Linked DNA regions of Elephas maximus indicus. The protein of the gene in region 1 binds, or shares a complex with, the protein of each later gene. Links are inferred from orthologs where the notes say so. Each region holds a gene or a part of one and is shown on either strand. Other genes may lie near its edges.

The links. The genes of interacting proteins can lie anywhere in the genome.
Region 2: the proteins of GCC2 (region 1) and RAB6A are in contact, whole or in part, in a crystal structure (PDB 3BBP), measured with the Homo sapiens proteins. The link is inferred for Elephas maximus indicus from reciprocal best matches to the Homo sapiens genes GCC2 and RAB6A. Residues at the interface, in NP_852118.2 of Homo sapiens: Thr1585, Ile1588, Leu1589, Glu1591, Gln1592, Leu1595, Leu1596, Glu1599, Arg1602; in NP_942599.1 of Homo sapiens: Lys15, Ile46, Gly47, Ile48, Trp67, Arg74, Phe75, Ser77, Leu78, Ser81, Tyr82, Asp85.

The regions. Positions count from the first base shown.
Region 1 is NC_064835.1:77,370,490-77,374,235, forward strand, and holds the start of GCC2 (GRIP and coiled-coil domain-containing protein 2), read right to left. Parts: upstream 2,713-3,746; 5' UTR 2,627-2,712; coding exon 2,621-2,626; intron 2,264-2,620; coding exon 2,207-2,263; intron 489-2,206; coding exon 404-488; intron 1-403. UniProt on the Homo sapiens protein: Golgin which probably tethers transport vesicles to the trans-Golgi network (TGN) and regulates vesicular transport between the endosomes and the Golgi.
Region 2 is NC_064825.1:48,734,070-48,737,815, reverse strand, and holds the start of RAB6A (ras-related protein Rab-6A), read right to left. Parts: upstream 2,696-3,746; 5' UTR 2,157-2,695; coding exon 2,087-2,156; intron 1-2,086. Other genes in the region: MRPL48 (39S ribosomal protein L48, mitochondrial), read left to right, coding at 2,893-3,070. UniProt on the Homo sapiens protein: The small GTPases Rab are key regulators of intracellular membrane trafficking, from the formation of transport vesicles to their fusion with membranes.

The DNA of each region.
Region 1 (3,746 bases):
TTCGTTATTTGATGCCTCTTTTTACTTCTCTGGGCTCATGATTCCGTGCTGCTAATATTTCAACTAACTAGAGAAAACAAACAAACAAACAAACAAAACACCTTATTCTGAAGAATCTATAATTCCTATTAAAAAAAAAAAAACTTCAATAAACTTTTTAATCCTCCTCCTCCCTCATTTTATTTTAATAACTCAAAGGTAACTATAAAGTTGTGACATAGTAAAAACATCAAATGTAAACGGTTAGAATTTTTAAATAATACTAGCTTCTACCGCCCCACCTAAGGCTGCATTTGGAATCACTGGAAAACATGACTAGCCAATGTACTACTAAAAAAAACTACTGTTTTTAACTGTGAGTAAATGAGGTTGGTGGTCAAGATAAGCACTTTCAGCCCAATACCTGTACACCTGGATTTAGCTTTCTGTATTAGCAACATCTGCTTCTTGGCAAACTTGATGAGATCTTCTTTGGGCAATGTTTCCAGCTGAAAAATGTTGTCATGTTACCAGTTTGTTATAACTCACGTTTCTACTGTATCACAAAGAGGAAACAAAATGTCTGCCTAAAAACAAAAATATTCTATTGAATAAATTTTTATGCCAACTAAACACACTTTATTCCACGTTTTTTTAAATTAGCAAATCAATTTCAACTTAATTATGAATTAAGCAACTAATACCAAAAGCCAAACCAGTTGCTGTTGATTCCGACTCATGACAACCCACAGGACAGAGGGCTTCCAAAGCTGTAAATCTTCATGGAAGCAGACTGTCACATTGTTCTCCCGAGGAGCCGCCAGTGGGCTTGAACCTCTGACCTTCTGATTAGCAGCTGAGTGCTTAACCACCGTGCTACCAATGCTCCTTAACTAAGCAACTAAAAAAAGCAACTACTATGTATTAATCAATTACTACACAATGTCAAAAAAAAAAAAAAAACTTTAATTATCTTTTTAAAAAAAGATACTGTGGTCATAGCCTAAGAAATGTCCTGAGTTTTGACTCCTTTAATTGTAGGCGGTTGGGACTAAGGCTACCTAAAAGTTCCTTCAAACTATAAAATAATTTCATTCTATTCAAGGCTGAAAATTTCTTTGGCGGAATGAAAATGCATGCATATCTACAGCAACAAGATAAATGAAGTTTCATTTAGGTTTTAACTAAAAATTAGACCTTACTGCTACTACCAATTGCTACTGAGTTGTTTCAGTATGTCAGAGTAGAACTGTGCTCCGTAGGGTTTTCAGTGGCTGATTATTTTAGAAGTAGATCGCCAGGCTTTTCTTCTGAGGTGCCCGGGGGGACTTGAACCTCCAACCTCTTGGTTAGTAGCTGGGTGCATTAACTGTTTGCACCACTAAGGGAAGCCAAAAATTAGGCCTTAATACTTGGGAAAGTTATTTAACTCCTATGGGCTCAGTTTTCTCATCTGTAAAATGTGGATAACCATAGTAGCTATTTCTTGGTTACCATGAAGCTTAAGTGAAGTGACTCGGTGGTTAGGCAAGTGTCTGAAACGCAGTATGCACGCAGTAAACCTTAGCTACTAAGATGCTCACATTTCTTTTAGAGTCACTGAATATTTAACATTAGTATGGGACCAGAGCAATTACCTAATTCAATATTCTCTTTTCACAGCTTAGGAACAGAGGCCCAGAAAGACTGACTTGCTCAAAGCCTCTGCCAGTACAGAGAGCAACAAGAGTGGAGTCCCTTGATGCCCACTCTCCTTACTGCTCTTTCCCCCACCACCAGTTGGCAGTATACTCTGACGCAGCGCAACCCCTTGTGGGTCAGAACAGAACTGTGCTCCACAGGGATTTCAGGGGCTGATTTTCCCAAAGTAGATGCTAGGTCTTTCTTCCCAGGCATCTCTCGGTGGACTATCAGTGTCTTAGCCGTTCACATCACCCAGGGACACCACTATATAAAACCTCATAAATTAGACTGCTTTGTGTAATGTATGAAAAACTGCAAGATGTCTTAGTGTTGACCCAGCGGCAGGAAGTAAACAAACAGCCAACTCTTTCCATATGCGGGGCGGGGGGGGGGGCGGGAGTGGGTGGGTATGCAAGTTAAAAGAGATTCCCTTAGAAAAAGGCTATTTCATTTAAGTAAGCTATCGCCACTCCCCATGCCAAAGTTTTCCAATTCATCACCCTTCCACTCTTCAGGGAGTCTCCTAGTCAAGTATTCTCTTCACCTTAGATTTCCCAGTTCCAGGGGTGGCTGGGGAAGCCACCCCATCCTGAACAGGTTCCTGCAAAACAAAAGCAAACCCAGGTTGTCAGAATAACTTTTACTAGTCTGAGAGGAAATGCGTGGAAGCCTTTCAGGCAAACCCCTTCTCGTGGGATTAAGCGCAGGAAAATCCTCTCCGTGAGAAAGAGAACTAGGGAAGGCTGCAGCTGCGGAAACAGTATATAATAGGGACTGTACGGGGACAAGTACTCAAGAGTGACAATGTTTTGGGGGCTCCGGGACGAGGAGGGAGTTTGCTGTGCCCCTGATACCGGGGGGCCGATCCCCACGATCGAAATCGCAGCGGCAGCAAAGGCACAACTCTGCGCGGGACCAGAGTTCGTCAGTCCCAGCCCCGCGCCCCGCGCCCCATTACCTCCATAGCTGCCGCCGCGCCACCCGCCGCCACCGCCGGCGCCGCCGCCGTCTCACTTCCGTCTGCAGTCCAGGCTTCGGCCGCAGTCTCTGACGTAGCCTCAACTGCAGGTCAAAGGTCGCGCTTCCCCCGTGGCCGGCCCTGCCTCCCGTGTTTCCATGGTTACGGGCCGCGGTCTCCGCGGCGGCGTATGGGCCCCGCCTCTCGGCCCAGGCGGCCAACTCAGCTTCCGCTTCCTGGATCCGGGAGGCGGTTCCCCGCGCGCCACGCTAGTGGGAGGCAGTGTCGGGGAGAGGGCTAGGTGGGGACGGCCTCGCCCAGGTAATGCCCACCTGCCCTCCCTTCTGTTACTCTTTCCGTGTAGTGTATTGCAAGAGGCCTTAGGAACTTGAGTTTCTAACAAGTTCCCCAGAAGTTATACCTCAGAATCACGTGGGTATTCAGTATATCTGGGATGGAATTGTATATTCTCAGCAGGGGTTGGAACCTGAAAGAACTGGTTCAAAGCCCTGGTTCCTATTACCCCCTCCCATTGGTACAGTACTTTAAAATGTGCCAGGTTCTGATTAACCTAGGGTGGTGGAAGGTATACGTATGTTCACACTGAGGTAATTCACGTCTCAAGGAGTTTAACATGACTTAGGTGCCAAAGGAGCCCTGGCGGTGTAGTGGTTAAGTGCTTGGCTCCTAAGCGAAGGGTGGGCGGTTTGAACCCACCAGCCCCTGCTTGTGAGAGAGACGTGGTAATCTGCTTCCGTAAAGATTTATAGCCTTTGGAAACCCATGGGGCAGTTCTGCTCCGCCCTATAGGGTTGCTATGAGTCGGCATTAAGTCCTCCGCAGGGCTTTGGGTTTTTTTGGAAGGTTCCATAACCAATTTAAATCCAAATTTTTCTTAGACTGTAGCTGCTTCTATGTATAATTTGGAATTTGATGTCAAGCCCTGGTAGGTTTGACTCCTGCCACTGCCATTTGTTGGCTATGTGAATTTGGGTAAATTAGCCCTCAGGGGCTCATTTTCCATAGCTTTAAAATGTAAGGTTGGTGAAAATATTAAGTGAAATAACAAATGTGTATTGGAAAGAAAAAACCCCATTGCCATCGAGTCGATTCCGACTCATAGGAA
Region 2 (3,746 bases), on another chromosome or scaffold:
CTGTAAATCTAAAACTGTTCTAAAAAAGTCTATTAAAAAAAAAAATCTAAGATGGCTTTAGGAATTACTTGGGAGAAAAAGTTATTAAAGGTTTAAAGAAAGAAAAGAGAAGCCATAAAACTCTGCACTATAAATTAGAACATAATTTCTCCGGAAACCTGCTGATATGTAAGATCTCTATTCACACTAAAATCTTCCTAGGATGAGAGATTAATGGGCTTTTCATGCAAACTAAATAGCTCTGCATCATAACATAAGGCAGACAATAACATCCCCAGAGTGCACAGTAAGCACTTTAGATCTAATTCATCAATAATGACCTATAGGCTATCTTTTATGTATGGTCTGTCCTGAAACTGACATAAAATGGCTAGACCAGGATCAACCCCACAGGTTCTATCAAGTTACTCACCTAGAGAAGCAAGCTTCAACTTGCTTCAGGAAAACTCGTAAGCAAAGAGGCTATATTTTTCCTTGGTAAGGGGGAAAAAGACCATCTATATGTGAAAGGAGAAAACTGATTGCTCAGGTCCAACTGGAGGCAATTTTGCAACTAGTGTCAACCTACTCTAATGCCATACAACTTAGTATAGATAGTTCAAAGTATTAATAAAAGCTCTGAATCTACATCAGTACCTGCCTTCCAGTCAAAACAAATAACTAACGTTTTCTACAACCTCACCTAAGACATCTAATAGGTACCCAATGACACATAATTTGGGGAAACTAATCTCTCAACGTCTGAATTTTTAAAGATGGTCAGGAAACGTGTGAGAAAAACAAATGAGGGTGATAATCTCTTAATTGCCGAGTGTCAAGTCGGCATAATACAGCACAAAACTGGAATTACTACAAGAAGAAATTTTAGAGACAACCATCACTAAATTAGGTTCTTGTATCTAATACAAAATACAGTAGTGACAACAGAAACCTGACCAGGTAAATGACATTACATTTTCACTCATCAGATAGTATGAAATGTCAAGCATAAGAGTCACTTAGCCAAAACGATGTAACATATGTAAATCTACTTTCGATAACTAGATGATGAATCTATTACTACCGTACTCCATTCCTCCCTAACCCCAAAGGAAATCCTACAAAACAAAGATGCTCGTTACTCTCAAGCCTCTTCTCTCAGAAATCCTAAATATATAATCGGAAAATACTGAAAAGGAAATGAACAATTAATAGTTTTCCAGTAATTCCTGCCTGCACCACCATGAGAATCAGTCACCGCTTTAGGATGAAACGAGAAAGAGGGGAGGTGAGAGGTAAAAAATTCCAAGTAAAATGATCATGACATAGCGTCTGGCAGAGATCTGAAAAGCATCAACACTACCAAAAGAATTGTCAGTGATGAAAGTCAGAGAAGAAAATGGGGGTTTCCGACAAGCCACAGCTCAACCCAAGGGGGGCAAAAATCGCACCACCGCCGCCACCCCATTTTCAAGTCGCCTCCAATTCAGATATCTACCATAACCCAAACTAATTCCCCACGGAAGTGAGAACCATCCAAGAATTTTCTCCGACCACCATTTCCCACCTTCTATAGGATCCGCACTTCCCAGAGCCAAGCCCCTGGGGAAAACAACGCCCAGATCCCACCCTCCTTGCCCAAGGTTGCAAAGGGCCTGTTCCCCGTAGTGTGGCTTTTCGGGGTAGGCCTTGCAGAGCAAATGAACTGGGCAAAGAGCATGGAATTACGGGTGCGGTTCAAGAAAGGGGGCTGGGGTTGAGAAGACGACGGAGACTGGAGGAAGAAAGGGACAGACAGGAGGCAGGGGCTGGGCGGGGTGAGGACTGGGGAGGGCAGATCGGGAAGAGAGGGAAGGGCTGCGGCGAAAGGAGGCGGCCGAGTCGGGGAGCGAAGGGCCAGGAGATAAAGAGTAAAAAGCCGAGCGACGGATGAGGACGAGGAGAAGCCGGGGGCAAGGCAGGGTCGGCGAACGCTGGGAAGGGCTGGGGGTGGAAGGGAGCACGAACGCGAGGCCGGCAGGCAGCCTCCGCGGACGGAAGGGCCGCACTGGGGGCGGTGCGGCGAAGCCGCGGCCAGCTGCCAGGAGTGGGGGAGCCGCGCACTCACCGCTCTGCTCCCCCAGGAACACCAGCTTGAATTTCCTCAGCGGATTCCCGAAGTCTCCGCCCGCGGACATGATGGAGCCGGAGGAGCTACCGCCGCCTCAGTCCAGAGACCTCCCGCGCCGACGCTGCTCCAACCGACAGACGAAAAAGGCGAGAGGAAGGGCAGAAGCCGCGCTCTCTCGGCCCCTGCAGGGCCCGGCGGAGAAGCAAGGCTGGACGTGAGGACTCCTCAACAGAACGCCACGGAGCCGTCGCCGCCGCCTCCCCACAGAGTCGCCTAGCACCTAGAGAGGCCCGCGGCTGGAAGGGGAAGGAGGGCGGTGTCGGAAGCAGTCACCGGTGTGCTCGGGGTTCCCAAGGTTAGCGCCCTTGTCAGCCGCGGCACCCGGCACGAAGACTGGGATGAAAGAGGCGGAGGGTGACGGACCCGGAGCCGCAGACGCGCCTGGGACCGCTCAAACGCAGCGCCTCAGCTCCCCAGCTGCCGCTGCCGCCGCCGCCTCCGCCTCCGCCGCCGCCGCAGCCCAACCTGCTGAGTGCGCGAGCCTCTGGCGCGGCGCGGGGCGAGCCCGGGCGCGAGCCTGCCACCCCTTCGGCAGCCGGCGTGCGTGAGTGCGTGCGTGCGTGCGTGCGCGTGCGCGCCACAGCCAGCGCCTTCCTGGTTCGCCGGATCTCCCTGCTTCTCCATGAGCAGCGAGACGAGGGAGGGTTCGATTGCCACGCCCATCGGGAGAAGGAAGGCGGAGTTGGGGCGGAGCCAGCGGAAAATAAGGGGGTGGGATTTGGGGCCCTTACGTCTCTTACGTGATGAGCCAGTTAGAACAGACCCATGGCAGGCAGAAGCGGGAGGGAGCTGGCGGCGCAAGAGTGGGCGCGGCCCTCGTGCCATGGAAAGGATCGCGCCGCGGCGGCCATATGAAGTGTGGCGCGTCGCAGCCTCAGTGGAGGGAAGGCGAGGCGAGGCGGAGGCGAGGCCGGGGCAGAGGTAGAAATGACCCTAGCAATGTGCGGGTGGGTTCGGGGAGCTTTAGGTGCCTCTTTTTTGAGCCCTCAGCTCTCCCTCACCTTCCTCAAATCTGCCATTTAGCCCTGCACCCTTCTGCATCTTTTTTCTCATCATCATTCCCCGCACGGCATCTTACTAGGTACATCATCCCTCGTTGCTCGCAGGGGGGTTTCGTAACTGCCAGTAGCAGAACTTCCACAATTTGCGGATGAGGAAACTGAAGCCCAGAAGGAGGAAAATGAATTTTAAAAAATCCCCACAGACAGGTTTGAAATCCAGGTTTTCTTATTTTCCCCCACTGAAGCGCTGCAGCCTGCTTATTGATTAGCCCACCCACTCCCTGGCCTGACCTGGCTTGGTTTTCTGTTACCAGCCCTTGTTTCTCACACGTTGACAACTCTAGGGGTAACGCCCACCTTCCGCCAAGGTAGAAAAGACTTCATGTAAACCAAACCCCTGATTTCACAGGTGGTGAAACTGAGACCGTCATAGGAGAACAGCTTTGCAGAAAGTCAGTCAACGTTAGGGGCGGAGCCTGAGCTGGAGCCCATATCTGGGCAAGGGGATGTTTTAAAGCTCTCCCTTTCCTCCTAAAGCAGGCCTTCTGAATTGGCGAGAAGACTTCCCTTAAATTAAACCCATTAACCCGTTGCCA